Lytechinus pictus: one gene and its partners. The protein of the gene in region 2 purifies or fractionates together with the protein of the main gene of each other region. This does not show direct contact. Links are inferred from orthologs where the notes say so. Each region holds a gene or a part of one and is shown on either strand. Other genes may lie near its edges. The genes, in order: exportin-1-like, regulator of chromosome condensation-like and ran-specific GTPase-activating protein-like.

Region 1 (11,121 bases), on a different chromosome or scaffold from region 2:
TTAAGTCCGTATTCCATAAAAAGTATCAGCAAATGGATGAGTGTAATTTCAGGACTCCTGATGCCTAAGTCAAGGGTAATTATGGGGCCGGTACGCTGGTATCGACTTCAAAAACGGAACCAATTCTAAGATTTTGAATTTTCAAGATAATTTTGAAATCTGAAGTCCTTATGGATATAAAGGTCATCAGATACCACCCATCATATGAGTATGCTGTTAGGTTACTAAGTCAAAGTCAAAGGTTACTTCAGATCAATTAACTGATAAAAATGTTTTGTTTTCGAAAGCATTTAATCAAAATAAGTGAAACTTATGTGAGTTGGTTATTGGATATTGTAAATGATATAAAATGAATAATGTGTTTCCTAGCCAATGTCACTTTATCCAATAAATGATTTGTCTCTTATTTTTAAAAATTATTCCTCTTATTGTTTCCATATCCCATAAAGGTTGTATAAAAGGAGTATGAAGTTCCAAGATGGAACTGTCCCTTCTTGGTCTGGGGTTATTTTATTGGACATTCAAAGGGTAAATGAAAAGAGAAAATGTTTGGTATTTCAAGCATTCACCCTATTTGTTTTCATATTCTATTAAAGCCAAGGGGGCCTAGCCCCCCCCCCCCCCCCACACACACACACCAAGAGAGAGAGAAGGGAGAGGGGAGAAAAGGAAAGGAGAGGGGAAAGAGAAAGAGAATGAAATTTGGGAAAGCGAGGGAACAAAGATAGGATGCGGGAAAAAAAAGAAAAAGGGGAGACTAAAGAGAGAAAGAGAAGCAAAAGAATAGAAAGGGAGAGGGGAAATAAATGAAGGAGAAGCAAAGAAGCAGGGGAAACGGGTAGTTCATAAAAGGGGACTGGGCAGGTTGGTAAGAAGTCGGGGCTCTTTTTATCCCCCTTTTCTCACAAATGAATAGAAGGTAAAACAATGAAGAAAACAAAAGAAAGTCCAGGTACGAAATGATCTAACCTTCGGCAGGCGCGGATCGAGGGGGCCTTGCGCTCTCCCCCCCCCCCCCCCTGCAAAAGAAGAGAGAGATAAAAGGGGATGAAAAGAAGTGGAAGAGAAAGACATAAGAAAAATTGATAAAGAATACAAATAATGAAGAGGGAAGAAGATGCCTTGCCCTGCTCCCGTCCACCATGCCAGAAATAATAGCAAGCTCAGCTCTCCCAGTAACATAGATACAAGGGAGCATAATGAAAGTAGAAGGAAAGGGAGAAAAATGAGAAAGAACGGGAATAAAGAGAGAAAGAACGGGAATAAAGAGAGAAAGGAAATGATCAGCCGATAGAGGAAGCTAGCATTAAAGGGAAAATATCAGTCTTTTTTCACAAACTGTGAATCTATAAAGCCCTTACCACCTCTTTATTACAAATAAATTTAGATTAGGAAAGGTAAATTGAAAGATAAAGTCGTTCTCATGGGCCGAAGCAGCCAAGGCCTCTGCATTGGCCGCACAAACAAAGAGAGATATGGGGGGGGGGGGGGGTGAATGAAGGAAAGGAGAAAGGGTAAAGTATAAGTATAATCACAGGAAGAGGATTTACTGGAAGAAAAGTTAAGAAAATGAGAGGAAAAATATAATTGTCAAATAGCAAACCTTTCATTCTTTTTAGATAAACGACGATAACTGTTGCACTCTATAGTACAGGCCGTCAATTTTATCAAGACGACCCCTTCCGACCGGCTTTGGTTCTTCGATAAGCCAATTAATCGAGGAAATGTAAAATATTTTTTCCCACTTTCCCTCTCCCACCGCCCCTAGTGTACTCTGGATCCGCCCCTGGGAGAATTTGCTGCACGGCAAGAAAATTAATTAAAATACAAGTCCACCCCAACAAAAAGTGGATTTAAATAAAAAAAGAAAAATCCAACAAGCATAACACTGAAAATTTCATTATAATCGGATGAAAAATAAAATTTTCACAAAACATGCAGTGATATGCACAACTTGGCGACATGTAAATGAGACAGTAAGTTGATGATGTCCCTCACTCACTATTACTTTTTATTGTTTGAATTATAATATTTCATTTTTTACAGATTTGACAATTAGGACCAACTTGACTGAACCATATAGTATTAAACATTAATTCCACATTTTCAAGTGGAATTAATCTTGTCGATCAAGACGTTCATTGAGGAGAAAATTAGAATATTTCATATTTCATATAATAAAATACAAAAGAAATAGTGAGTAGATGACATCATCAGTCTCCTCATTTGAATACCGACCAGGATGTGCATATAACTGTTTTGCGAAAAATATAAAGGGAAACTTTAAAATGTCATAACTTTCTTATTTTACATCCGATTTTGATGAAATGTTGAGTATTTTGCTTGTTGGATTTTTCTCTTTATATTCAAATCCACTTTTTGTTGGGGTGGACTAGTCCTTTAAGCATTATTCCCCGGGCATTATTCTCAGTGTCATATCGGTTGACGACTTGACGTACTGATGCTAATTTCAAATATTTCAAGACCACTAAAATTAGTAACTCGGTCTTTAAAATCTTGTTGCTATAGAAGTGCCTTAAAACCTTCAATCCAGGCCTTCATATCATGTTTGGACATGGGCGGAAATCCCAGGGGGACAGGGGAGACGTGTCCCCCCTACTCAAAATAGTAGGGGGGACACAATATCAAATGTCCCCCTACTATTTTTGGTTTTTTATGATGGTAAGAAATACATCATTCTAAAGCGAAATAAAACATGTATTTTGGGACGAGATGACCTTACTTTTGGGATGATAACCTTTTTTTGCTTGTCAAATTTTCCCGCCCCTTGTCCCCGTAGGCGGACCAGGGGGCCGAGGGGTCCACCCCCCCCCCCCCCCCTCTTGGCGGAGCAAAAAAAAGAAAAAAAGGGAAAGAAAGAAGGAATAGAGGGAAAAGAGAGGAGAAAAAGAAAAGAAGGACGACGAGTGCATAAAATAAAATGAGAGGAAGACTTGGAAAATAAAAATAATCTTTCGTGCCACTATATAAAATTTTCGCTCGCGCTTCGCGCTCGCATTGCCTGTTAGATGACTTACATATCTTGTTCAATATGGAGCTCGAATGTCAAGTTTAGAAGTCAATATACAAAACATATTTCACCTCGGAAATCGAACTTCATTATTTTGTGTGATTTACAAATTGATTTTTAAAAAGTGCTCTGTAAAAATGTCAGTTTTATGGTCTGAATATGAACATTTGCTGCTTGCGCTGCGTGCTCGCAAATTATGATTTTTCAGGTACCTATTATTTTTCATGAAGTTTTCAAAATATCCCTTTTCAGGTCTGATTGTTGAGACGTAAAAATATCAGCTAGCGCGCTGCACGCTCGCATTTTGATTGGCGAGTTATATATGTTTCAATATTGATTGTACAACAAACTACATAAAATCCCCTTTTCATGACAGTTTATCAAAAATTTTAGCTCGCGATTTGCGCTCGCATTAATGGTTAAAAATATATAAACTGATGCATCCTATTCATAATTACAAAAGTAAAATGTCCAGTTTTTATGCCATAATATCAGATTTCGCGCCCTTATTAGCAGGAGGGGGGGGGGTGGCCTGTACAAACATCCCCCCACTTTTTACGAAAGAAATGAAAAAAAAAATCACAAGAGATAATTGTTTTATTGGTGAAAATTCTTCCAAAAATACCGCTTATCAAATAAAATAATATTATTGAATCATAAAATGCAAATAAAGAGCCAGTTCACCATTTCCAAACAAAATACTTATGTCCTTATTATAACATTGAAGAGAAACCCCCGTTTCTTCCAATTCATCAATGTTGGGGTCTTTGGGAAGGGATTAAGATAGAATGTCAAAATTTTTTAAAATGTAATCTCTAATAAAACCATTAAACCATCATGGGGTAAAAAAGATAATAATATCGGAGGGGTATTTGCCATATGGACATACAGTGGCGTAACTACGGGGGACATGGGGGGCACACCCCCCCCCCCCCACATCGGCTGACCAAAAAAAAACGGGGAAAGGGGGGAAAGGAGAAAAGAGGGAGAAAGGAAGAGAAAAGTAGTGGGAAAGAAGAAAATATTATTCATTATAATGTTATATTATAATTATGTTAAGTTACATTACATAAGAAACATTTTTATCATAACTTTATGAAACATAATTTGCCCAGGGCCTACGTCTTCATTGTTCCTGGTGCTCGCATTGTCTGTTTAACGAGATATATAATCCTGTTGTACTAAAACATCCCGTTTTCAAGTCAATATAAACCAAATATATTTCCTAGCACTTGAGTTATCATTGTTTTATGTAGTGACATATGCTTCATTTTCATGACTCAAAAGTGATTGCCCCATGTTAAGGTCTTCGTATATATGAAACATTTCCTGTCCGTGATTACGTTCGCATTAGTGGATTGGTGAGATATGTCTGCTCTTCATGAATTCCTAAAATCGGTCCTTAAAATGTAACTTCTTCTGATCTGAATATAAAAAAATTTCAGCTCGCGCTTCGCGCTCTCATCATTTGATCAGTGAGATACATATCCGTTTAATGACATTGTCCTTAAAATGTCTCTATTAGGTCACTCACTCAGTCATTCAAAAATTTTGCTGGTGCCCCCCCCCCCCCCCCCAATACCGTGACCCACGGTACTCCACTGTCAGTGTGGACATATCAATGACAATTCCTTGCATATCTAAAAACATGATTGCAAAAAAAAAAAAGCCAAAATATTTCAGTCATCCCCCCCACCCATCAACACGGATTTACGTCAGTGCTTATTAGGCATTAATAAATATGATATTAATTGAATAATCAAATTGTCCCTTTTGTTTCATCTCGCTTAGCAAGAGGAATAGGAAGATAGTCATCATTTTCATATGATGACATGTCGTAAGGATGTCCCGGTCCTATGTCAAAGCTCAGAGTAATAATAATGAAAATATCAGCTCTTTTTTAAGTGCGATCCATATCCACAAAGTGCTTCTACAAAGTGCTTGAAATATAAAGCTGAAATTGACTCTTTTTTCAGATCGGAATATCAAAGTTTCATGATTTTCATGATTAAAGATGTATATAGAATGCCTATAGATTCTAGGTCTAAATATGAAACACGCGCGCACATGTTAATTCAGATACTCAACTTGTTCTCTATTTAAATCATTATCCAGTTTCAGATCGCAATATCAAAATTGTTCTGCTCGCCGTGCTCGCATTATTGTATAGGAAGACCCCATATTACTCATCCTTTTCATGATTTACAAAACATGAACAGAGTGGCCCATTTTTAGGTCTAAATCTCGATTTTTTTTCTGCTCGCACTTCCCGCTCTCATCAATTATTAAATTATATAGCTATCCTGTTCACGATTACAAAAATGATTAAAATTTTCCATTCTTTCTCTAGAAAGTTCAAAAATTTTCAGCTCGCGCTTCGCATTCGCAGTTTTCTATTGTTGAAATATGTAACGCCTTCATGGCTAAGTGCAAGCAGTCCTTAACAGTTACCTTTTCAACAGGTACCAGTTCAAAACGTATATAAAAATTTTCTTTCATCAATTGTTTACTTAATTACCTATTCTGCTTGAGTTACAAAAAGTGCTTAGAATTTCCATTCTTTAGGTGAAAAAGTCAACAAAAAATTGCTCACGCTTCGCGCTCGCATTATTTGATAGTTAAATGCTACTTTAACAGGTATTTTTTCCATCAGTTCATTTGCATGTACTCGCGCTTTGCGTTCGTAGTAATTATTAAGTTGCGTACACATCATTTTTCAGGATAACAAACATTGCCCAGAATGTTCAAATTTTAGGAAAAAATACAAAAAAAAAAATCAAAAAATTGCTTGCGCTTCGCGCTCGCATAATATAAATAAGGATTATGATATTACATATAAATTTATAAGAATAAAGCTAAGAAGTGACTAATGAGGACTACCCCTTCAAAAAAAAAAAATCGGGGAAATTATGGCTGAAACAAATTTCCGCCGCCCCCCCCCCCTATTGGCGAAGGTTGGATCCGCCCCTGTGTCCCCCCTACCTTTTGGGAGAGATTTCCGCCCCTGTGTTTGGACATGATAGAGCTAAGACTTTGGCGTCTCGGCAGATCGACTAGGCTAGTGCAATGAGCAAGCTGATCGGTGTCATATCCCCACTTAATCTTTAGTATTTGATTAAATAATTTCTCCTCCGCAGGGTACGGTAAGATTGACTAAACTGAATTAATATTAAAGAAAATTATTGCTGCAACTGATCATGATACAAGGGAGACAATTCGAGTACACTATATGAAAATGTGAATAGCATTATACGAAAAAGGAAAGCATTGGCACTATCTTGCATGTTCGATTATTTGCATATGGGGGCCCCATGGGGCATGGTCTTATTTCACAATAGGCCTAATATACAGTATTGCTAAACTTTGAAATTCAACTTTGTTGTTTTGTAATAGAGAAGCGTTGTGGTTAGTGAATTTTTACTCTGCTTGTTTGGGTATCATTATTTCAGCCCGAAATACTCCATCATTGAGCGACCAATATAATACAACCATATACAAATTTAACATAATGATAACAATAAACAGGTAACGGGCATGGTACCCAGCTGTCAACCAATCATATTTTAGAACTGTATACTGTTTTGCATGTGAATTCTGAAGCTGCGCCCTCTACCTCGCTCTATCTGTATATATCGCAACTCGAAAAGCGCCCGCGAATATATATATTCCTCTCTGCTCTTCCAAATATGTAATGCGAAATAACAAACTTGACCCTTCGCTCCACATTACATCGTGTTGATTAAGAAGCTCATTACTGCACATAAACATTAAACAATTTGTATCTTCAGTTCATTATATGATTGTGAATTATAAGTGTGATAATGTATCACTGAATATTTTGATGGATATGATTTTCGCAGTGTGCAGAGATACTACTCGCGTATACGACAGCTAGCTGCTGCTGCGCCGAACTGGTTTTGACCGGTTTTTATTCGCCAAAAATTTCCATCACTCGAGACGCCGAATTCGTCGGATGGAGATCGAAGCTGGATTTACTCTGAAATATCTTAATTTTAAATGGCTGAAACATCCTCGAATTGCCAGATAATATAGACAATTAATGAAATGAAAGCTTGATTCACGAATGCTTTAATGTAAGCGTCGTGTGGTATCCAGGTTAGCAATTTACAGAGCAGATAGTTCACGTGGGTTCTGTACTCGTCTCGGCGGACGACGGCCAGCAGCGGAGAGCTATCATAGCAAGTAAGTAAAGCAGAGAGGCCGCATTCTCATTGGTCCATGCATGCTAGGGTCTTGCCGAGTGAGTGTACAGCCCAGCGAGCCAGCTCCAGCTGGCATCGTTCGAATCAGCGATCAGCTGAGCTCTCACTCAGCTAACCCAAGCCCAAGGAGCTTCGGCGCCGCCCCTTCGACGGTGGTGCTCATTTTAATTAAGCCTGGGGCCATGCTGCTTGTTGCTAGCTGATGAAGTACTATGCTAGGCCTAGGGCCTGGACCCGATGAAAACTAGTAAAGGCCGGGGTGCCGGGTGGTTATGATTGTAAAAAAATTGTAAAAATTGTAGAGACAGCTGGCAGCCGTCTGTTTCGAGGAGTTCTTTATTGATTTTTAAATTTCAAATTTTTTAAATTTCTCCTCGTACACAGACGGCTCGCTATCGTGCAGCCACCATTACTCATTAGGGTAGGGGACTTAAAATGCAAATTCCCCCGTCGGGGCTCTTCGATTTTTGTCTTTATTTCATAAAAATATTTAAAGAGAACTGTACCAAAAAAAAGAAAGATTATTATCATGATTCCTATTCCGTTTTGGCCTGAAAAGTGAAATGCACCAAAACGGGGAAAAATAAACTTAAAAGGGGAAAAAACAGTGACTTACTTCGGCTGTCGCGCAACTTCACTTCCCTGTTTTATCCGAACTTGATACGGCCATTGAGTCCCCTGTACAGATCGAGCTAGAACTTCGGTCTCTGTATTTTGGTGAGTGGAGCCAACGGAGTTCAGCGGAACAATAACAGAGACCGAAGCTTTTGGTCTAGATCAGTAGATGTAGATCTATTCTAGGTCCAGATCAAGACCTGAAATTCTGAATTTGCACAGTTTACCATTTTAACATAATTTTGTTAATCAGAAAAATATGATTCATTTTGATTTTGAAATCTGAGTTTTTTAAATGTATGGTAAGGGGACCTAACTTAATTGATGCTACGCGGGTCCTAAAGCTACGCACCACTCATCGCGCATGCAGTTTTTAATGGCAAATGTGCACTCTGTGTGTGGCCAGTGACGAACGATTCGATTCCTATTCAATTGTTACTACAGAAGCTGCAGTAAATCTCTAATTAAAATGCAGCGAAAACCCACAAGTCACAACTGTTTGGAATTTTGGAGTTATATTCGCTTTAATTTCATTTTATCCTATAATAATGTGAACATATTTTAGAAATTGAGGCACAGGAAAAATGCTATTTTTTGCATGATAAATCGAGTGCGTAGCTTTAGGACCCCTTCGACATCGGAATCAAGAGGTGTTAAAAAAACACTGGAATTTACGTATTACGTGAGTTTTGCAATATTTTCTTTTTGGCTAATGATTTATATTTGCCACAAATTAGTGAAAGATAATTTGTTCAATAATTAAAATTGGCATAGTTTTTCAGGGGCCACGGAACGGTTTTCGAAGTGGGGGGGCTGACCATGCAAAAAAATCACAATCATATGGTAATTTTTACGTTTTTGTACACGGTTTTGGAAAAAAGTGGGGGGGGGGGGGCTGAAGCCCCCCGCTTCCGCGGCCCCTGTTTTTATCGTTTGAAAACAAAGTGCTTAGCTTTAGGTCCCCCCATCATAAAACTAAAAAGGGGGGGATGTTTTCTGAGTTTTTAGGCTAGGCCTTCAAGGTCAGGGGTTATGTTGTTTTTTTGGGGGGAAGGGGAAGGCATGTCTGCATTTGAGCTTAATTAAAATTAAAGCCAAGGTACTAATTTGCAGTTTCGCACCAGCCGATTTCGAGAGAATTTCCCCACCAATGGTTGTTTGCAAAAGTTAATAGCAAGTCTCAATCATATTTCAAGGCCAAGATAGACTACCCACCACTTTTCCGAACATCGCAATCAGGAACGGCTGTATTTCGGCTTCGATCTCGACATCATTCAAGTTCCCAGTCAGACATTGCTTCGCTTGGAGTTGGATTTGCTGTTATTTTGATAAGGATTGAAATAGACAACCAAAAGTTTTTTAGCTGATATCAGATTTTTTTTTTTCAGCTTATTTTTGGCTTTCTTCTGTTCAAAAATATGAGAGCTCTTCCTATTTCAGACTTTTTCATCACTCTTCAGCTTTTTTCAGATCTTTTTATTTGTGACTACTCACACCCCTGAATATGTAGACTGATACTCTAATGTTAGACCTATTCATTAAAAAAAATCTGACTAAAGAAATGGGAAAATATTGTATTTCAGGCATTTCAGTCGAAAGCAGCCATTCTCAACAAAATCCTTGAATCATGTGAAAAGTGAATGTGTGCTTATAAAATTTTGGCTCTATTTTTTTGTTCAGTTTGAAAATGTTTGGCTGAGGATTCTTTAATCTGAAAATGATTGGCTGAGGTTTTTCAAGAAAATCATATTTGAAATTTTTCTGACATTTGGGGCACACTACTCAAGAATATATTATATATCAACTGGAAATTATGATGGAATTTTAAAGAACTTCATGTTTCATCTCAAGTCAAATTTTTTAGGTGCATAGACATTATGCACAGACAAGGGGCCACTGCATAGGCAAGGATTAGTGAAATTCACTTGGAGGGGGGGGGGGTACCAAAACAAAAATTCTCCTTTAGAATGATAATTGCTGCTTAAAAACCATGATTCAAACCTTTTCACCCTTATTTTTTTTCAGGCATTCGCTCTAATCCAGACATCTTGTGTAGGTGAATCAATGCCTTCACAGAGCATGGCAACGTTGGCTGAGCAGGCTGCAAAGCTGCTCGACTTTAGTCAGAAGCTTGACATCAACCTCCTGGACACAGTCGTTGGTGCCATGTATAGTGGAGAAGGCCCAGAAGTAAGTAGACAGTGTTATTATATGCCAGGGTTATACAGTTAACTTTGCCTGTCTCTGGCGTTTCAAGGGAAATGCATTCTTTCAGTTGTATTTTATATTATCTTTTGCCATATGAAATAATAATAATATTACATCATGATAATAATATTGCTTAATAATAATTAATAATAACAACAACAATATATTATTATTATTTATGATGATATGATGATGATGATGGTGATGATGATGATGATTACTCCAGTTTGTTCATGAAACAATAGATGGTCTGGTGCCATATAACATTTGGCAGCGATCCACATTAACTCATTTCCAGGGGCCTGTTGCATAAAAGAAAAGCTCTGGCAATTATTCAGAGTCAAGGGAGAAGGTAGTGTTAGTCATTTCATTGGTAGTGTCCATTAAATGATAGTACTATCAAGGTAGGATGGAAACGAGGAAGATATTTCATGGACATGAAAATGTGAAATTTTAAGCAACCGGGGTAAGGGTTTATTTCCCCCTTATATTGGGTTTTTGCCAAGCTATCCCATGGAATTCCATGTTCATAATCTGACAACTATAGAAATAAGAAACTGAATATTTATTTTGCCATCCTTGCCTCCACAGCAACAAATGGCCCAGCAAATATTGACAAGTTTGAAGGAGCATCCCGATGCATGGACAAGAGTCGACACCATACTTGAATTTTCCAGCAATCAACAAACCAAGGTTTGAATCGAACCCAATTTGCTACATCATCACTAACAGGGTGTTGCAAGAAACTTGTGATTGATTGTAGAACAATATTAGGTACCAATTCAATTGAAAGTCGTGCACTTCGTTGCAAATTGCAGTGGATTGGTGGTCTCTTTCTCGCGTCAAGAAATTATCTTGCTTTAGTCAAAATTGATCTATCACTTGTTCATTTGCATCTTAAATTTGCAATGGATTACAATTATTTTCTTGCAACACCCCCTAAGTTCAACTCGAAGTATTGCTTCCTATGGAAGCCATCTTAAGTGTGAATAACCAACTCAACAATATTCTGAATGATAAATAAAATCATTATTTATTTGCCTG
Region 2 (11,297 bases):
TTTATAATTATGTCATTTTACTTATGTTTGAAACATGCTATTTATATTTTGTCGTTCATAATAATTCGTTGTGCTGAAGATTTGATATTCACTGTGTGAATGAAATAAATGAACAAAAATATCATATTCATACATGGCAATGATTTTTTTACCATTCAAATTCCTAAGTAATATTACTTTAGTTTCGATCAACCATGTAAGATAATGTGGCCTAAAGTTCAAGAGTTGTAAAATGTATTTTACAGTGAAGAAGAAAGATGGTGAAAGGGGGAGGGGTGTTTAAAAATCGTTTATACTGTGAGTTGGGAATTAGATGTGTGTTATGTGTTGGAGAAAGTGGTTGGGGAGCTGACGATGGACCAGAAAGACAGAAAAGGGGGGGAGAGAGATGGGGGCACCGGGGAGGGAGGGAAGGATCGAGGGAGAGGGGGTAATTTACCGCCTTACAGCGGTTGTAGGGGAAATGTGACTCCAGCAGCTGCAGTCACATTTCCCCTACAACAGCCGTTCGGCGGTAAATTGCCAAAAGCAACTCGTCTTCTAGTCTCACCACATGATCTTCTTTCATTTTGTCTAATGCCATTCCATCCATCAACATTTCGTCTAACAACCATTTGGTCCAATCACACTTCGTCTAATCACTATTTTGTCTATGACCATTTCGTCTCATAACCAGTTGGTCTAATATTTCATTTTCATTCATTTTGCCCAATTAACACTTAGTCCAATAAGACCAAATGGTATATGGACTAAATGGCTATTGGACCAACTGGTTATTAGACGAAATGAAAGGAGACCATGTGGTGAGTGGACGACTGATGGTAGACCAAATGATAGTAGACGAGTTGGCAATTGGACGAATTGGAAATAAACCTGTATTATACGGAGAGTCGAAAACAGCAATCTAACCATTTTTTTTGTACCAGCTACGTTTGAATAAAATTAGATAAAATGGTTGTTTTCCACTCGCCTTATCGGCGGCCGGAGGGGGAATGTGATTATAAAATAAATGAATTTCGTCGAAGGGATTGGTATAAAGAAGAATGAATGAGGACATAAAAGGGAGTCGCGAATAATAGAGAGAGTGGGAGAGGTGAGAGGAATTCTCGGGCCAGGAGAAAAGCTATGATTAACAATAATGGGGGGTCGTTGTTGCTGTTCTTCTTCTCCTCCTTCGTCTTCTTCTTCTTCTTCTTCTTCTCCTTCTTCTCCTTCTCCTTCTTCTCCTCCTTGTTCTTTTTCTTCTTATTCTCCTCCTTCCCTTTCTTCTTCTATTTCTCTGTCATTCTCTCTCTCTCTTTTTTTTTTTTTGGGGGGGGGGGCTTAATTCCCCCTTCCTCCGTCTTTTTCTCCCACCCCATCTCATCCTCTTCCCCTTCTCCTCCTTCTTCATGTTTCAACATTTTGTCGATTGTTATTTTTATATTTTTTTTAAAGGAAAGGGGCAAGGGTGATTCTTTATTCACCTGTGAAAAGAGACATGTTACATTATTTATGAATTTGGACTGGACTTTCAATAAAACACTCTTGCCACTTCAATGCTTTATTGCGTCAGGCGATGCTCTTACTGCCATCACCGAGTTGATTTATTTACCGTTGCTTGGTGACAGTTTCCGATTGGATCGCCCTGGTTAATCATGGTCTGAGAGGGTGAACGACAGCCGATGGAAAAAAAAAACGATTTCGATATTGTTGTCAATAATTAACGCGATGCTTATTGTATTGACCTTTACCTGGAAAATACATAAGCGATTTCGTGAAAAATTGATAAAGGCCTTTTGAAGAAAAAAAGAAACACAATGCATTCGTGTGTATAGTGTATACGGACGAAATTGTGTATTTTTGAATCATTTATCATTGCATTTGTTTCATTTGACATAATGCATGGAGGGGCTTTTAAGGACGATCTTTCTCTCTTTTTCCCTGCTCCTTCCCATTTCTCTTCTGCACTCTCCCCATCTCTCTATCTGCTTCCGCTTTTGTCCCCCATCTCTACCCCGCCCTTCTCTCCTCAAACTCTTCTATATACAGTGCGTCCCACAAAAAACGAAACCGAGATTTATCGATGATTTATCATAACTTAATCGCAAATACAATAGACAAATGACCTACCATTTTAAAGCTTAGAATCTCCTCTTTCATTTGAAATAACTTAAATTATTTCTCATTCACGCATGAGTGAGCAAAAACAATTTGAAAAGGGGATACCAAAAAGTCACTTGGCGGGCCGTATCTGGGTTTTAAAAAGAAAACCACATTTTAAAAAAGTTCAATATCTGCTCTTTAATTTGATACCTCAATTACAGAAAATGGTCAAGAAATAACAAAGTTCTGGTTATTTGAAATAAGGCTTGAATTTCAATAATTTCATAAAATGAAGAGGTTTTACAGGCTAGCGTTCAAACTCACTCGACACTCCGTTTTGTTGACGATCAGCCATGCATTAAAGGGGAATCCAACCCAAATAAAAACTTGTTTTTATAAGAAAAAGATAAATCAGACAAGTTGATATGTGAAAGTTTGAACAATATTGAACAAACAACAAGAAAGTTATGAATTTTTAAAAGTTGTAAATATTGGTAATCACTATACTCATGGAGACTTCAAATTGGCCACATATGGGATGTCATAGTGATGTAAGGCAAGGACTACTCTTCCATGTACTCCATTACATATTATGGCTAAAATGTCATTTTTCCGAAAAGTTTTATTTCAAATTACATTTTTCTTTTATGAGGACATTTAACAATATACCACCTGGGTTATATTTAGATTACTGCCCCAGGGGAATGGGTACTTAGGAGAAAACCACAAAACCCTGATAATAAAGTACATGGCCTATGGGAAAGTTGTCCTTGCCCCTTGTCATAATTTACTTACCCAGTTGCCAATTTGAAATCTACATACTATTAGTGATCCCAATTTTAAAGCAGCTATAACTTTCTTATTGTTTGTCCGATTTCTTTCAAAATTTCACCATTCTGTTTAATTTATTTTTCTCCTTCCCAACACAACATTTTATGGCAAAGGCTGGATTCCCCTTTAAGTCTTTTGTTACCGTGCGATAGCTTCTGTGGGAAACCAGTGAAAACACGTTTATTTAAAGAAGAATGAAACCCTTGAAACCAGCTGAATCTATATCAAAGAGAAAAATCAAAGAAACATATTGTTGAAAGTTTGAGGAAGATTGAATGAATAATAAGAAAGTTATGATCATTTGAATGATCGGATCACTAATGCCATGTAGATCCTCCCATTGGCAATGCGACCAAGATCTGTGATGTCACACACGTACAACTCCCTTTATTTCATTTATATTCTCACTTTTATAGAGTCTATCACAATGTGAGGTGTTCTCTTTATGAGAGGAGAAGTACAGAGGTTTCACAACATTAAATCATTGATGAATCGTTTGTCATATGATTAGAATGAGCAAAAAGAGATGTTTTGGGGTATATTTTCAGTGTCCAAAAGGGGAGAGTTCTTCACCTGTGACATCATAGATCTTGGTCGCATTGCCAATGGGAGGATCTCCATAGCATAAGTGATCTCGACATTCAAATGCTCATAACTATTCTATTGCTAGTCCTATTTTACTCAAATTTTTGTTGATCTTATTTTTTGATTTTTCTGCTTTCACAAAAGCTAACTTGCTCCAAGAGTTTCATTCTCCTTTTAATGAAATTATGGAAATACAAGCATTGACAATTTTCTGTGATTTAGGTATCAAAGAAAAAAGAAGATATTGAACTTTTTAGTCATGTGATTTTCTTTTTGAAATTCAGATACCCCCCGCCAAATGAGTTTTTGGCATCCTTTCTTCGAAATCTTTTTGCTCAATAATGCGTCAATGAGGAATAATCTAAGTAATACCAGATGAAAGAGGAGATTCTAAGCTTTACATTGGTAGGTCATTTGTCTATTTTATTTATGATTAAGTTATGATAAATCATCGCTAAATCTCGGTTTCGTTTTTTCTGGGACGCACTGTATATATATTGGCTCATTACGCTTCATTAAAAGAAGTGAGAAGCGCGAACAACTGTTTGAACATTCACGTTCTAGGATATGCAAGCGTGAAGCGGAATTTTGCATTTTGATATAGTGTTAAAAACAAGTTTGCTATTTGCCAACTCTTCCCCTTTTAAAATTCTTCACTTTTCTTCCTCTTTTTAGTATCCCTCCTGTGTAATTGTCTTATTTATCCCTTCCTTGATATATCTCCTCCTCCTCCGAATAAGAAGAATAGGAATAAAAAGGAGAAAAAGAAGACGAAGGAGGAGAAGTAGGGGAAGAAGGAGAAGAAAAAGGAGGAGAAGAAGAAAAAGATCGAAGAAAAAGAAGAAGAACAACAACAAGAAATGATATACTATTTACAAAGACAAGACGAAGAAGAAACGAAAAATTAAGAAGAAGAAGAGAAGAAGAAGAAGAAAAGAAGAAGAAAAAGGAGGAGGAGGAGAAGGAGAAAAAATATCGAAGAAAAAAGAACAAGAACAACGTCCAACAACAACAAGAAATGATATACCGTTTACACAGATAACAATGCATATACAAAATGAAATATTGTTTGTATGATTTATCACAATAATAAAGACCAAATTATGCTGCCATTACAGAAAGTGAAAGGTTAAATAACAGAGTGCATGAGGAAATCATTGTCTATATATAAAAATAAAGAAATAAGAAAAAAAAAAGTTGTCTTTTGATTGTGGCTTTTGAAACTGGACCCAGACGAATAATTAACTTGAATCTGAAATTGAAAGAGTCCAGGAGGCCGTTGCATAAAGCTGTTCATAAGTTAAGAGCAAGTTTAAGAACAACTGGTGAAACTTTCTTACTCCTAAACCATCGCCAATGAACATTTTGGTGTACAGTATACCATTTACAAGAAAGGTTAACTAGTCGTTCTTAAAGTCGCTCTTAACTTACGAACAGCTTTATGCAACGCCCTCTGGAATCTTGATTATTCCTTTTTACCTATTTTTTTTTATTTTGTTACTATTTTGTTTTTGTTTCTGTTATCTTTCATTCACCCCACTTTAGTTTTTTTTTTTTAGGTTTTCGTTTTATGCACGGCCTCTCTGAAAACAAGCCATTGGCTGATCGAGTGCTGTTTTACCGTGTTTAAAACTTTAAACAAAATATATCAAATCAAATCGAATCAAATTCGAACAAAGCGGTGCATAAATAGGTAAAAGTATTAATGTGAGCATGAAAAAGTAAAATATCAAAGTAAATTGATGTTTCTATCATGGACAAGCGAATATTCAAATTGAATACAAGTCATATTAATGCTAAAAAAAAATTATGGTGATTAAAAACTAAACATATAAAATATTTAAAAAAAACTTAAAGAACTGAAACTTAACATATAAAACCATTCGCAAAATTATGTGTACTGAAAACAAAATATATGGAACGATTGCAAACTAATATTATGGTAAACAATGATAAAAAATTGTCAGTTGATGTGTAATACAACAAATTAAACAGAATGATACTCATAAAACATTTAGTAATCCATATTACGACGGTATCCGTGTTTTCAGCATCACTCTAGAGACTAGAAATATATAAGTATACCACCTAAATTTCAAGATCATAAAATTATTGTCTTAAATGACACGCCCTCATTTTTTAAATAAAATCATCTGAGGCATCGATCATAAGGGCGGGGGGCAATCGCCCACAATGAAAATATTGGAGGGCAAACATAATTACCGATTTGCTTCCCTCCCACTTTTTTTATCTTAAAAAAGAAAAAGGGAATGCAAATACTTTATATTTTTTAAAGGCATTGGAAATTAATATAAAACTATCCAACTTGACATAAAAATACAAAGTTGTCAATATTTCGACGCGCTTGTGCTTAAAATACCAGCCAGTTTTGACATTCTTTAAATTGTATATTTGCCCATCGACCCCCCCCCCCCCCGTGCTCCATCCTGAAACCTGGATAGTGGATTACCATTATAGTTTCTTTTTAAAGTTATGTGAAGTGGAGTTTATTCATATTATTCACTTGATAAGAGATGATGAATTTATATCAGAGTTATGCATAATACGTTACCATGCTTATGGGGGGGGGGGGGGGGGCTTTCACCATAGATCATTCATTGCTTCCAAAACAGACAGAAGTTCAAAAGCATCAGTGATATGTACAGTATTATGATTCTCAAAGTTTTTGGTATTTTGTTTTAGAAATGATATTAAATTTGCTGTTTGTGTTTTTTAATTGTTCGAATAAACTCAACCTATAGGCCTACTCAAAGAAAATTATTGACAAAATTAAAACCACTTAATATAATAAATTTCGGAAAATTCCATACGCATGCGGAATCCCAGTTTTTCATTTCTGGCTTTATTCGCAGAGCTAGAGATACCATCGAGTTTTAAACGGAGGCGGCAAACGTGTGTTACGTGCAACTCTTTTTGTCGGAGAAAACAAAATAAAGCTTGGTTTATAAAGGTCAGTTTCCAACTATTGACAATATCACTTGTTTTGAAGGATGAAATAGATATTATTATTTGTGTTTGAAGTGCTTTGTATGTTTTGGTTGTGAGATAAGCTAAACAATATTTCGAACGAACTTCGCACAATTAACATACCGCATACAACGCGATTATGAATATGTGGGCGCAGTGTTTCTCCTCGGCCTCGCGGCTTGACCCGTCGCGTTTAACTTCAAAGTTCAAGCGCTGCGCCGCGCTATCGCATTTCCTGTACCGTACCAGCTGAGAATGAGTGTCACTATTTCAAGCCAGGCGGCGCGTTAACTGTCTCCCGTTAATATGTGAGGTCATTTCATGCTTTTGGGGTGGTATTCTGACTGAGATCCATTTTATCTCAGAATCAGATCTAATAAAATATTTTATCTCCTTCAAAATCAGTGAGATAAAATACCCTTAAAATCTCTCCGAATTGGTATTTTGAGAACAATTTTATCTTCATTATTTTTAGATATCTGGATCTGGATGTACAGTGCAGGACCGTTAGGTTTAATGCACCGGGTAAGGAGAGGGCGCAAATAGTTTAATGCACCGGGTAAGGAGAGGGCGCAAATGAGTTTAGTCGAAACGTAGTGGCTTTCTTCGATCTTAATTTATTCTTGGCTTTAATAAACTGTAACACCTCTGGTGATGTACCGGTACTGCTGACAACTTCGTTAGGGAGTTGATTCCAGGCCAACGAACGTTGTATTCACAAAAAAAGAATTTCTTAACTGCTCTGCGTTACATTAACTGTCTTATTGAGAAAATGACTTGGAGTTATTTGTTACTTGTTTCTCTACCACATACAACATAGTTAGTAGCATCAAAGTTTACAAATTTCTTAGCTTTGATATTACGTTATAAATGTCTTGCTTTCATTAGAAATTTATCAACAGGAAGGGCAGGAACCAACCCCTCGACCACTTTGAAGTAGAATTAGCTAAGCCAAATGAATTCTTTTATTTTGGAATAAACCACAGCTTATTTGTACTCATTTTGAAGGGGATATAATTTTCTATCTAAGTAATAAGAGTACAGTTTTTCCTAATAACTAAAGCTTATTTAAATTAACGCATAATCCATTATGCAAATATTAAAAATGTTCTGCCAATGATCTGGTGACGTGGCGTGATGCATGTGGAGCGTTGTGGCCCAGTGGATTAGTCTTCGGACTTTGAAACAGAGGGTCGTGGGTTCGAATCCCAGCCATGGCGTAATTTCCTTCGGCAAGAAACTGATCCACAATGTGCTGCACTCAACCCAGGTGAGGTAAATAGGTACCGGTAGGAAGTAATTCCTTAAAAAGCTGTGTGCGCTATGAACGCCTAGCTTAGCCGGGTAATATAGGAGCGCCTTGAGCACCTAACAAGGTGCGCAATATAAATACCCTATATTATTATTATTACATTATATATAATAATAAATTAGACCAAGATTGCCAACAATCTTGGTCCAATGTATATACATTTAATTGTTCTAGACTAAACATGCTGAATCATATTTCATCTTGCCATCTTACACCCTAATTAGCATCTAATTATATATGCAAATGAGCAGCATTTAGCGCATAGGCTGAGGTGAACTTGTATTCACATTCATAGTAGGTCTACCTGTGACTGAAGAATATTCTTGCACTAAGTTTTGTTCTGATTGGAAGTAAAATTCCAGTCTCCACTGAAACAAATTAAAGATGTGCATCAAGCAAGTTCTGTTATTGTGCACATTTGCATTTTATTCCATGCATTAATTTGCATATTAATTACAATTAGCTGTTGTGTATTTCACGATATATGTGTGCAAATGGCAGAGTGGTATACACACACAAAACAATTAATAATAAATCAGAGGGGAAAATATCAAATGAAGGTAAGGAATTAGATCAGAACACCAATCAATTAATAGTAATAAAAATATTTAGGTACTACAAGGGTAGAGTTACTTTTTTAAAAAAAAGGAAGAAGAAAACCCTTTTACAGGCTTCATCAGCAACCCCCCCTAACCACCATGTCCTGTCTCAATTTTATTTCTAAGTCTTATGTTCAAGACAAACACAGCACCCCAACACTCTTTTAAAAAGATTAAGCCCCTTACCCCAATAAACAAACACACAGTCACAGAACAACACAATTCCTCAGCCCCCCCCCTTCCCAATCACCTCAAATTATAATTTTTTTTACTTTCTCTTTTCCTAATTCTACTTTTGAATAGATATAAAGTTTCCATCAAGCAGCTGAAATCATCAACATGACAGGACCTAAATTTCTTTTGCCATTAAAAAAATGATTAAAATTGATCTTGAGAATCATTGGATACACTTTTAAAACTAAAAAGCAAGATTTGTATACTTTCAACCTGAATTTACATGATTAAAGACTATTTCAATCATCAGCAGAAACATTGTCAGCAAATTTATCTATATGTGGGACTACATCAGAAATAACTTTCCTATTGCCTTCCACCCATATGGTTATCGAGCTACAGCCTTCCAAAGTGCGGGGGAAAATCCGAAATTTTTACGCTCATAATCACTCTTCTCAAAAAGCAGAAAAAACAGTAGAAAAAATCAAATATTTACGAAAAATTCTCGGAAATATTCTTACCTTCGCGAGAAGCCATCTTGCATGTAGTATCGAAGTGAAAATCTTGCAAAAGACGAGTTTACCCACAACCCTCAGAACCCGGAAGTAAACAATGCTGCTAACAAATATGGCGTCGATCACAGAAACTCCCCGGCGAATGCGAAGTTCAGAACCCTAATTATCTCATGACGATCGCTTGATTCAGATGGAAATGGGCTGGAATATGGAAAATGTAAGTGGAAATTACATTTTGACTATTGCTGTTTTCGAAATTTCAACATTTCATTTCAAAAACGATATGTAAAGTCGAGGCCAGTCAGAATAGGAACCCCAGAAGTGCCGATCCGTTTGGCATCGCTAGTAGAATGTCAGTTTCAGGACTTGGCGTCTTGAGGCAAGAATAGGCAGGTTAATATTCTCTCTCATCTTGGTAATCGAACCTGGTTCTTCGAGAGCTGTAGTCCCCACAGATGAACTGTACTGCTCTACGCTGTGTTTTCTCCAGACATTGGATATCCTTCTGAAGATAGGGATCCCTCACACATGCACCATATTCCAGGATAGATCTGACTAGTGCAATGTATGCTGTGCGCTTGCAGTTCTCTGGGCAGAAATTTAGGTTCCTTCTGAGTAAAGCAAGGACAGAGTTTGCCTTCCTCACAGCTTTGTCGATCTGGGGTGACCACTTCAGATTGTCAGCTAGTGTTACTCCAAGATATGAATGTTGAGATACATGTTTAAGTATACAGTCATTTATGGTGTAAAAGTATGAGGTTTTGGCATTTATTTATGCTCATAACTTGGCACTTGCCAGCATTGAACCTCATTCCCCAAGTGGATGCCCAATTTTCTAATGCAGTAAGGTCCTGCTGCAGCTTATGATGGTCTTGTTGAGACTTAATCTGTCTACACAGCACACAGTCATCTGCGAATAAGCGAACCTGTGACTGGACAACATCAGGGAGGTCGTTGATGTGGCATAGAAATAACAAGGGTAAGAGTACTGTCCCCTGCAGCACACCTGATGTTACTTCCTCTGGGTTTGAATGCTCCATCAACTACAACCGTCATTTCCCTGTGTGTTAGGAAGGATGTAAGCCACTTGTGTATCGAGCCATCTATTTTGTAGTTCGCTAGTTTGTGTAGGAGTAGCGAGTGAGGCACTGTATCAAACGTCTTAGCAAAGTCTAGTATGATGACGTCTGACTGTACTTTCTTGTCATGGGCAAGAAGGAGATCATGTACTGTGGTCAGTAGTTGAGTTTCAGTTGAATGACCGGTCCTGAACCCGTTGTTGAGAGACGACAAGATACTGCTTTCTTGTAGATGTTTGAAGAGGTGCTTACAGATGATATACTCAAGCTGTTTGCAGATCACTGATGTAAGGGAGACTGGTCGATAATTTCCAGTTGAGTGTACATCACCTTTCTTAAAGACTGGTGTAACATGTGCCTTCTTCCAGTCAGATGGTACTCTGCCCAAGTCAACCGATAACTGGAAAAAATCTGTAAGTGTAAGACACACCTATTTTTTAATCAATATCCAATGAGAAACGAACTTTTAGTTTTATACTTACAGCTCTCTCATCTCACTTAATCAATGGAAATCCATTCCGCCAGGAGGTGTGGCAAAGCCAAAGTAAAGGAGTGAGATTGCATTAATTTGTTGACTTCAAATACGCTTGCAATACGCTTGCGCGTCTTTACAGAGATTTCTTTTTGAAACTAAAAGAATGGCAATAGATCTACTCTCATCTTTTTTTGAAGTCACATCTTTTCAAGCATCATTTCATAGACAATATTATTATTCAAGAAAAGTCTTATGAAATAATTCCTGATTTTGTACTAGAAGTACTACAGGAATAACGTTAAGGTGTTATTCTCAATAAATATATAATTTTTCTTCAATGAAATGTCAACATTTGGAGTTAATTTACCGAGAAATATTGATGAAATCAACATCGCTGAAATAAAATAGCCCCTACCCTCTTTTAAGTTTATTTTATTTTTTCTTCATGGGGGCAAGCACATCATCCGCATTGCAATGGTAAAATTCAATTCAATTCAATCATGGTTTATTTCGCATAAAAACAATACATGTTACACAGCCAGACGGCTGAAATTAGCATTTTACAATAAAATGTTAACAAGTCATGGATAAAAGCAACAAAATATGTGATTGGTAAGTCAATGCAGGCACTGCTCTGTCGCTATCATATAGATA
Region 3 (10,888 bases), on a different chromosome or scaffold from region 2:
TCTCTTACATCGTTTATGATGATTTACATTTTATTTTCAACCTCGTGGTGATAGCGGACCCCGCCGTGAACTTTTAAAGATCGTGCTACTGACGGAGCTTATTGCGTTACTCTCTTACATCGTTTATGATGATATACATTTTATTTTCAACCTCGTGGTGATAGCGGATGCCGCCGTGAACTTTGAAAGGTCGTACTATTGACGGAGCTCATTGCGTTACTCTCTTACATCGTTTATGATGATTTACATTTTATTTTCAACCTCGTGGTGATAGCGGACCCCGCCGTGAACTTTTAAAGATCGTGCTACTGACGGAGCTTATTGCGTTACTCTCTTACATCGTTTATGATGATATACATTTTATTTTCAACCTCGTGGTGATAGCGGATGCCGCCGTGAACTTTGAAAGGTCGTATTACCGACGGAGCTCACTGCGTTACTCTCTTACATCGTTTATGATGTATACATTTTATTTTCAACCTCGTGGTGATAGCGGACCCCGCCGTGAACTTTTAAAGATCGTGCTACTGACGGAGCTTATTGCGTTACTCTCTTACATCGTTTATGATGATATACATTTTATTTTCAACCTCGTGGTGATAGCGGATGCCGCCGTGAACTTTGAAAGGTCGTACTATTGACGGAGCTCATTGCGTTACTCTCTTACATCGTTTATGATGATATACATTTTATTTTCAACCTCGTGGTGATAGCGGATGCCGCCGTGAACTTTGAAAGGTCGTACTATTGACGGAGCTCATTGCGTTACTCTCTTACATCGTTTATGATGATTTACATTTTATTTTCAACCTCGTGGTGATAGCGGATGCCGCCGTGAACTTTGAAAGGTCGTATTACCGACGGAGCTCACTGCGTTACTCTCTTACATCGTTTATGATGATATACATTTTATTTTCAACCTCGTGGTGATAGCGGATGCCGCCGTGAACTTTGAAAGGTCGTACTATTGACGGAGCTCATTGCGTTACTCTCTTACATCGTTTATGATGATTTACATTTTATTTTCAACCTCGTGGTGATTGCGGACCCCGCCGTGAACTTTTAAAGATCGTGCTACTGACGGAGCTTATTGCGTTACTCTCTTACATCGTTTATGATGATATACATTTTATTTTCAACCTCGTGGTGATAGCGGATGCCGCCGTGAACTTTGAAAGGTCGTATTACCGACGGAGCTCACTGCGTTACTCTCTTACATCGTTTATGATGATATACATTTTATTTTCAACCTCGTGGTGATAGCGGATGCCGCCGTGAACTTTGAAAGGTCGTATTACCGACGGAGCTCACTGCGCTACTCTCTTACCCCCTTTATAATGATATAAATCTTCTCTTCAACCTCGTGGTGATAGCGGACCCCGCCGTGAACTTCAAATTGATTTGAAAACGCTAGCTACCCAAAACATTTTAATAACATATTTCAAATCATCGTGCGTGCTTGCGTCTTCTACTTCATTTTAATTGCACTTGCGACTTTAAGATGATGCGTCGTAAGAGATCATTCCAATAATTCTAAATCGCTAGCACCTAAAAATACTTCTAAAAGATGTCCCGCCGATCGTTCATTAACCTGTGATCTATGAGAAATATTTTCATTTTATTTTCCTTTGCGCCTTTGCTCGGAAGATGCGTCTTTCGTTTATCTTTCTAATAAAAATCACTCGGTTTATTTTAAAGCTATAACACCTCAAAACCCCTGGCTTTAAAACATGTTCCAAACGATCGCGCATGTTGGCGACTTCCATTCCAATGCATTCGTCTTTGTGACTTTGTCAGGAAGATGCGCGCGACCGCGAACAACATTTTGATGTATTCCTTTGTTTTTAAACATACCGATTCGATTTTCGATTCGATTTCGATTTTAGAAGCTTAACTGCCGATCCGATTTTCGATCTGATTTTTGATCCGATTTACAACATTATTTTTAACCTCGTGGTGATAGCGGATGCCGCCGTGAATTTTGAAAGGTCGTATTACCGACGGAGCTCACTGCGCTACTCTCTTACCCCCTTTATGATGATAGACATCTTCTCTTCAACCTCGTGGTGATAGCGGACCCCGCCGTGAACTTCAAATTGATTTGAAAACGCTAGCTACCCAAAACATTTTAATAACATATTTCAAATCATCTTGCGTGCTTGCGTCTTCTACTTCATTTTAATTGCACTTGCGACTTTAAGATGATGCGTCGTAAGAGATCATTCCAATAATTCTAAATCGCTAGCACCTAAAAATACTTCTAAAAGATGTCCCGCCGATCGTTCATTAACCTGTGATCTATGATGAATATTTTCATTTTATTTTCCTTTGCGCCTTTGCTCGGAAGATGCGTCTTTCGTTTATCTTTCTAATAAAAATCACTCGGTTTATTTTAAAGCAATAACACCTCAAAACCCCTGGCTTTAAAACATGTTCCAAACGATCGCGCATGTTGGCGACTTCCATTCCAATGCATTCGTCTTTGTGACTTTGTCAGGAAGATGCGCGCGACCGCGAACAACATTTTGATGTATTCCTTTGTTTTTAAACATCGCCGATTCGATTTTCGATTCGATTTCGATTTTAGAAGCTTAACTGCCGATCCGATTTTCGATCTGATTTTTGATCCGATTTACAACATTACTGTTAACCTCAGATTCTAAACATAACTAGCAGTTTGGCGCATTTTTATAGTTGCCTTTTTCTTTGGCAGTAGAGGCGCACGGCCAATATGGGAGACTCTCTCCAATAGGGGAGACAATCTCCCACATTGGAGACTTGCTTTGCAAAAGGACAAAAGAAACAACACCAACAAAAGCATGATTTTTTCCACCCAAAATTTTGTCTCACTGAGGTCAGAAGCCCATTTGTTTTGTGTGTGATTGACAACAAAAATCCTTATCAAAACAAAAGTAGACGGTGAATTTTTAAAGTAGACTGTGAAAAGGGGTAATTTTTCATGAGGAATCTGCTTATCATATTTTTATTTGCCGCCAAGTTAATCCTTTTGCAGCAAATGTAAACAAAGGAAATTGGACTCCAAAACTGGAGACTGTCTCTGAAATTGGATACCCAAATTCTTTACAAAAGTCTCTGATATTGGAGATAATCTCCCATTTTGGAGACAGTCTCCAATATTGGCCGTGCGCCTCTACTAGTACTGTTTGGTGCATGGGAGCCTATGTACAAACGCCAGGCGTTCGGGGAGCTCGGGAGTGACCATACATGAGTGATAGAGTATTATTACTTTTACTCCCCAAGACGCCTCCAGGCTACGTCTGTGTACGAGGAGAAATTTTAAAAAATTTAAAATGTTAAAAAATCTCCTCGAAACAGACGGCTGACATGTCCCCATAACTGATATTTTGAGAAAAATTGAAGATGTAAGTTAGGCCCAGATTTTGGTGGGACAAGGGCACCAAAGTCCAAAGGGTTCATTACATGCAGCCGCGCACAAAAAAATCAAGCCATAGAACTAGAAGTCGTGTGTTGTGGACACCAGGTCCAGGCAGAAGTGAGATCCCAGCACGCGCGACCCACTAGTTAGAATTTAGAAATCCACTGCCAAACGCGGTTCATGGTGCGAGGTTAGTATACTACTAACCTTGCAATACGCGTGAGTGGGACAAGGGTGGAAAAATATAAATAAATTAAATATTTTGATTTAGGCCTAAATAATTAGGCCCTAGCCCTAGGCCTAATTTGTACGAAATAGTGTAGTTGATCTGTCCTGTCGATTGACAGGAATGACAGATCACCTAAATATTCTATTTCAATTTCTTCACTCATGTCTGTGGACAAGCCGATATAATAAATCTCTTTTCCATAATAAGTTAGTTAGATGCTCATCTAATGTTAGGAGCTAACGTTAGTCATGTTAGGCTCACTCAGTTATGACGGCTACAGACAGTACAGCTGCACGAAGGACTCATTCAGTTCACGCAACACAACATGTGAAAATCTATGCGGTTTACGGATAAGAAATGTCGAATCGTGACAAAGTTCATTTGAAAATCACATCTTACACATTAAGACACATTCTAACAAATCAAAAACTCACATCTGCCATTTCGTTAGGTGGATGTCGGCGGATGCACAAAGAATCGGACAGTTATACGAATGAATGAAATTTTGCAATTTAGGTATTTACGTACGATGAACGTATTTTGTGCAATAGAAATAAATAATAGACAGTAATTCCGGAACCATACCCTATATCCTAACGAGTTCAGTATGAGAATCACGAGTTACTGTCTATTATGAATTATACAGCGCATTCATCCCACCCCAGCTAAAGCGCGCGCTGGTCAAAGGGATGGTCCGGGCTGAAGACATTTATATTAAAATAAATAAAGTAAAATTCACAGAGCAAAATACTGAAATTTTCGTCAAAACGGATAACAAATAACATAGTTATTGCATTTTAAAGTTTATCAATATTTTGTGAAAACAGGGATATGCACATCGTCATGAAAATTCATTAGGTGGGCTGATGATGTCACATTTCCACTTTCCCTAATTTTATTATGTTATTACATGAAATCATAAATGTTTCATTTTTTCATACGAGTACATGATGCGTCTCCATTATGATGAAATAAGTTGCGGCAATAAATAACTAATAATGCACTTAATCAGTTGTCGATCCAATTGTTTTAGTTCTTGGTAGAATCTTTGAATAAACCTTGCTTCATACAATCAAATAAGAACAAGCTAGTGGACAGTGGCGTAACAGCCCCCCCCCCCCCCCCCCCCGCCCTGCCACCTGGCGGATTTCACCGGGAAAATAAAAAACGGGGAAAAAGAGAAAAGGGAGGGAGAAAAAAAAAGAGAAAGGGGAAGGAAAGGGGAATTAAAAAGGAAAGAAGGAAAAGGAAAGGGAAAAGTGAAAAGAAAACGAAGAATTTTTTAATGGAAAAGGATGGAAAGCGGGAAAAGGAACGAAAGAAGAGCATTTGAGAAAGAACAAATCATTCCGAAATAGGCCTATGTAATGCAATAGCATGATGGGAAATAAACTAAAATATGACAAAATGGCAAACAATAGCAGGAAATGAAGGTTGAATGGATCTTAGTCAAAAGCTAAATTGAAAAACAAAGAAAAGGGACAAGAAAATAAAGAGCGGGAAGAAAGATGGAGAGCATTCAACATTGTGCTATAAGCTTGATAAATTTTATGCAAATAAGCTACCGGGCCGGCTTTTAGGGGCTCTTCATCTATAACCTTTAAATGGCTCTAGGCGCCCCTGTAATAGGGACCCTTCCTACATTTAGCTTTACGTTCAATCACTGGCGTACAGGCGGGGGGGGGGGGGTCTTGGTTCCACACCCAAGAGGAAATAAAAGAAATTATAGGAGATAAAATGAAATGAATGGAAACAATAAAATGTGTTATTTGCTGAATATAATGGAAAAATCTATCACATAATTAGAATTTGATAGGCAATTTTTTTTCCAGCTCGCTTTACTTGCTGGCGATTTTTTAAAAACAAATTTCCCACATTGCTAGCTGTTTTGCCCCCTCAAAATATTTGGTTCATTACGCAACTGGGTTGAATAAATGTGTTGTGTAAAAGCTATATTCTGCATTTATCCGAGATTTGATTAAAAATAGCGGCGATCTGCGAGTGTTTAATGGCATTGATATCAAAAAGTTCCGGGGGCCCCATCCCAGACCCCAACCGCATAGGACTTCTGTATATGAGTATGGAAGGGTTGGGCCATATGGCCCCAAAAAATCTACAACTAAGAACAAAAAAAAAGAGGAAAGAAAAGCAAAGGAAGAGTGTAGGATATGATTTATTTGCTGAATATAATGTCAACAAAAATATCTCAAAGTTACTAGATTCTAATAAAAAGGTGATTTTTTTTCTCGGTCGCTTTGCTCGCTCGGGACTTGTATCAAGCAGCTTTTTAGCACATGCACCATACTGCGCCCTTCGTTTTTTTTTTACTCTTCACGCTACTGCCGCAAAGAATCCTGCTCACAGTGGCGAACAGACCACAAAAAAGGAATGGAAAGAGAGAAGAGTGATATCATTTTCTGGATATCATGTCAAAATCTATCACAAAATTGGATTTTTGTATTAAAAATGTCAGATATTTTGCTCGCTCGCAACTTTTTTTTAAAAGATAAATTCTGCCCGATATGCAATATCTGGCCCTCTCAAAATCGTCGCCTCATTAACACCTGTTCATACCATATGACCGGGAAATTTTTTGCTCTTGCCCCCCCTGACCACCGACCCCTGCACGAAAAAAAACGGAGAGCCACACCGATCGAGCTGAAATTACCAAATATCCTGTTTCGTGTCGCCTCAAATATTTATGAAAAAAACCCTGACAAATAGGCCTACTGATGAACAAAAAGAAATTGCTGCCGGGGGTGATATAAATAGACATCGGGACTTGCGTCTAGGGCAGTGGCTCCAGAGACTGATTTGCAGACTGCGGGGCGCCAGTCCTTTCATTTTTATCACACTTTATTTTCAGACCCACCTCTATAATCATGGACCTAATAAAGACAAGTAAAAGTGGCATAACATTGAAAATTTAATCAAGATCGGATGGAAAATAAGATAGATGTGACATTATAAAACTTTACTTTCAGAAAAGTAAATGGGTTATAGGTCTACGCAAATGCGAGAGCAATGATGTAACTATAGCTTACAATTTTCATACTATTTTTGTTGAGAATGATAAAGAAGTTCTTGATTTTAGCTTAATATTTACAATGACGACTCTACTCTTCAAAGTGAATTTCTACCTCATTTTTAAATCAGAGGAGAGAAAAACTTCTTATTTTTACCATCTCAACCCATTTTCTTATTCATTTAACTCAGTATCTCCTTATCTCTCTCACCTGTCATTCTCCTCTATTTTCCTTCCTCCTCAGTGTTACAACCCCCCCCCCCCTTGCCTCAAATCTCCTTCCTCCTCTCACCATCACCACTCTTCCTTCTTCTATTTTGTTATTTTACACCCCCCTTTTCCCCTCTCTCTCTCAGTCTCTCTTCCTGGCCACCCTCTTCCTTATGATCTTCCTCGACTTCATCTTTGAATATCACTCCCCTGTTTAAAAGTGTTTAAAATCTTACACAACAAAGTTCAATTTTTAATATGTAATTCTCAATAAATAAAGCATGGTTGTTTATACTGTTAAACACCTATTGTAGGCCTACGGTTCATATAGTAAACAACGTTGCATAACATTTTTTACACCATTTTGATAAACTCATCATAGTTGTAAGTTTTCACAGCTCCCTTCCATCTCATTAAGTTTACCAGTTTACAAGTCAATTCTAGCAAATATAAATTTTCTAGTAACATTATAAAGTTCATCACATTTTGACAACTGTGATTCTCCAGGGACTAAAATTAAGTTTACAGGGGAGAGTGATCACTCGCTACTGCTTGCCTTAAACCATTTCAGGTAGAGCGATTTATTGCTCACCTCAGCGAATTTTTTTTTTTTTTGTGATATGAAATGATAAATGCAGAAAAATTTGAAAACAGGCAACATCATACACAATTAAAAATTGTTTCTACATTTTATTTCCATATGACTCTGTTCTGACATCACTTAGCCTGAAAATAGAATAAGAGTGTCAGTCAATGATTGAACTGTTAAGAGCCAAGCTTGAAAACCTCATTCTAAGTCAAATTAGAAGACATACAAAAAGGCAATAACACACATTGCAAAAATGACAACAAAAAGTTCATTGAGATCAATGTTGCCTATACATCTGATTGTTTGTTTCCTAAGTTGTGGTTTGCAACTAAGTGTATGTTCCTCCATCCACTTTTTAATTTCAGACAAAAAAAATCCCCTTGTTAGTCAAAGAAGAGCTTTTTGCAGTGCTCCTCTACCGCTCCCCTTAAAACTTTTAGAAGAGCTTTTTATTGCTCCCCTCATAATTATAAAACTGAGACCCTGATTCTCTTAATTATTTTTCATCAATTTCACTTACAAAAGGTGTATTCAACAGAAATTTCTAAGAAATATTTCAATAAAAAAATAAATCAAATACATAGGCCTCATCAACAACATGAAGAATTCAGGAGAGCATTTCATCAACATTTATCAGACAAATATCCTTGATTTTGATTGGCTGAGAAACACACTTTGTCAGATAAAACATCTGACAAGTCCTTTCATGTAACACTCCACTAGTCTCAAACTGTAAGGTCTATAAGGGATAAAGACATGTTTCCTTTAATCACTCTCTCAAAGACACATGAAACATAGAGGAGGAAGATATTAACTTAAGAAGCGAACCCTTAAATACCAATGGATGAATAAATAATATTTTGAAAAAATCTGCCCCTTTCTTTATATTACTTGAAATTGACTGAAACCGTGTGATAGAACAATCTTAGTTTTTTTGTTTTTGTTTTTTACTCATTGTTGGATGTACCGATAGTAAATGTACAGGAGTTATTGTTTTATTGTGCTTTTTCAAAGAAAAAAAACTAGCTTTGTGACTATCCCTGGAGGTAAATCTCATTGATACTGGTCCAGTATCCATGTAAATCAATTTCTGAAAAGTTTTCCTGAATTCCTGAGAGTGAAACCTATGCAACATTCCTGAGTTTCATATCTTAACTGGCATATTTGGCAATTAGTATATTCAATATCAACTTTTCTTGAATTCTGTTTTTTTTTTCCCAAATATTCTATCATGTATAATCTTAGAATGTTATATCAAACATTTAAGAAATCCCTTTTCAAAAATACTTGTTTATGTGCAAACTGGAAAGTATCTATGCAAACAGACAACCAGGGAAGCATGTCAATGATATCTGAAAGTGATACCACTTAGATGACATTTTGTCACATACCAAACACTATCAAAAATTGAAATCAATTACACATCTCACAAAAATATTTGAAACTGTTTGTGAATTAAAAGTTATTGTTTATTACAGTATAAATATAACTTCATAGCTAATAAATATAGCTAATGCTAAACCAAGATGACATAGAACTTTGAAAGACAGCTTATCTTGCACACAAAATAATATTAGATTAAAACACACCTTTAAACTTGACATATGAAGACATTTCAAGACACCTACCATAATTGAAGCAAGAAATGTGACTGGATACCTTTAGAGGTACCTGTGCCTAATATAAAACAAAACATAGATAGATATACAATAATCAAGGAAATAAAACCATTGACCTATTCAATGGCATTTTTTTATATTGTAATAAAAAACTACAATATGAATACATTGGGTCTGTGTGCATTTATAGGTAAAAATTTTCCTGACAAAAACTATGTTTGAAATTATCATAACTCGGATTGATTTCTAAATGCACCAGATTAGATTTTAACATAATTTCAAATCTACGCTTCTGATAATCCAATGAATTTCAAATTTGAAATACATCAACTAACTTGCCAGTTCTGGCAGTGGCTAACAAATGAATGCCATTTACAATCTATAATATTCAACCTTGCAGTTCACATTTGAAAAGCAATTATATACATAATTACTAGTATGGCACTTCACATCTCATACATTTTACATGTTATACTCAATCTTAAACAAGTTTCATGGACCATGTATAAAATGAAATCATAATCAGATTTAAAATTCCATAACAACAAAACACATAAATATCATAATCATTCAGGTCCATAATGATATTGAGAATAAATGAAATATGATGAGTGGAGAAACCAGCACCGGGTAGTCACTATATGGTGAATCACTATAATATTCTCAATTGAAATACAATATCGTCTTGAAAGGTTGTGATAACATCCTTTACAAAACAAAAATACATTAACATTTTTCCTCCTAACCATTTTTGTAAATGTTTATCGCAGGGGGTGGGGCATATATACATATATATATGGGCCACACCCTGGATAAAATTTTGCATATATGTATATATATTATAAGAAGAAAAATATTAAAAACTATTAACTAGTCATTGATTCATCAGAAAAAAGAAATAGTCATGTTGTCTTATAAGTTTAGCTATAAACATATTTGTTTAATTTGAGCAGTCAAATTTGTGCATGAATGTTTATGTTATAAGTCCCTCCGTCTCCTCTATAAGGTTAAAATATTCACTAGCACAACATAAAGCACAAGCTCTATTAAGATATCAGTTTAAAGTTGACATATTTTGCCAAACTTTTGAAGTTATTATTTAAGGCTGAGCTTTGGTTTTACTTTTTACACCAAAGGAAGAAATAAACGGTATTGCACTCGGGTAGTAAGACATGGCTAAACATACGATCTCTCTCCCCTCTCTTTCTTTCTCTCTCTCTCTCTCAACCTGATATTTTCATTACTAAGTTTGACATGTGTGAAAGACCATACAGATTTTTACATACATTACATTGTACATAGAAAAGCCTCTTAATCATTAAATACATTACATTGTACATAGAAAAGACTCTCATTCATATACTGCCATAGTCAGTGATTTTTTTTCATTTAACGGGATAAGACCCTCACAGGCTGCTGTACAATATTTGAAATTCAAGGGGGGACAATTCCCATCCACCCCCCCCCCCCCCCGATTAACAACAATGTATACTGGTAATTAGTATTATTGTTATGAATATGTTCTTCATGTTCTTCTTTTTTGTTTGTTTGTTTTTTGCAATATTTAGTGATAGTAATATTCATTTCATATCATTCAATTCAAATTCATTTCATTCTTGATAATCAAATAAAAACATCCTCAAATTAAAGTATTGCAAGAAAAGAACAAAAAGTATACACTTGAAAATTCAGAAGCCTCCCAGTTACAATTATATTACCCTCAAAATCATATTCGCATTATTTCATAGCACTGCAGAGTAAAGTATCACAAGAAAAATTAGCTGATACCAAATAGCTGATTAATTAGTTTCATTAAGTG

Evidence for each region.
Region 1: the proteins of regulator of chromosome condensation-like (region 2) and exportin-1-like purify together in Homo sapiens (affinity purification with mass spectrometry; 3 studies listed by BioGRID and IntAct, with this or other methods). This does not show direct contact. The link is inferred for Lytechinus pictus from reciprocal best matches to the Homo sapiens genes RCC1 and XPO1.
Region 3: the proteins of regulator of chromosome condensation-like (region 2) and ran-specific GTPase-activating protein-like purify together in Homo sapiens (affinity purification with mass spectrometry; 3 studies listed by BioGRID and IntAct, counting the BioPlex papers as one, with this or other methods). This does not show direct contact. The link is inferred for Lytechinus pictus from reciprocal best matches to the Homo sapiens genes RCC1 and RANBP1.

What each region holds. Positions count from the first base shown.
Region 1 is NC_087251.1:44,094,451-44,105,571, forward strand, and holds the start of exportin-1-like, read left to right. Parts: upstream 1-6,699; 5' UTR 6,700-7,234; intron 7,235-9,894; 5' UTR 9,895-9,933; coding exon 9,934-10,059; intron 10,060-10,668; coding exon 10,669-10,770; intron 10,771-11,121. UniProt on the Homo sapiens protein: Mediates the nuclear export of cellular proteins (cargos) bearing a leucine-rich nuclear export signal (NES) and of RNAs.
Region 2 is NC_087261.1:5,081,704-5,093,000, reverse strand, and holds the start of regulator of chromosome condensation-like, read left to right. Parts: upstream 1-6,355; 5' UTR 6,356-6,472; intron 6,473-11,297. UniProt on the Homo sapiens protein: Guanine-nucleotide releasing factor that promotes the exchange of Ran-bound GDP by GTP, and thereby plays an important role in RAN-mediated functions in nuclear import and mitosis.
Region 3 is NC_087246.1:7,320,517-7,331,404, reverse strand, and holds the start of ran-specific GTPase-activating protein-like, read right to left. Parts: upstream 4,285-10,888; 5' UTR 4,070-4,284; coding exon 4,061-4,069; intron 1-4,060. UniProt on the Homo sapiens protein: Plays a role in RAN-dependent nucleocytoplasmic transport. Alleviates the TNPO1-dependent inhibition of RAN GTPase activity and mediates the dissociation of RAN from proteins involved in transport into the nucleus.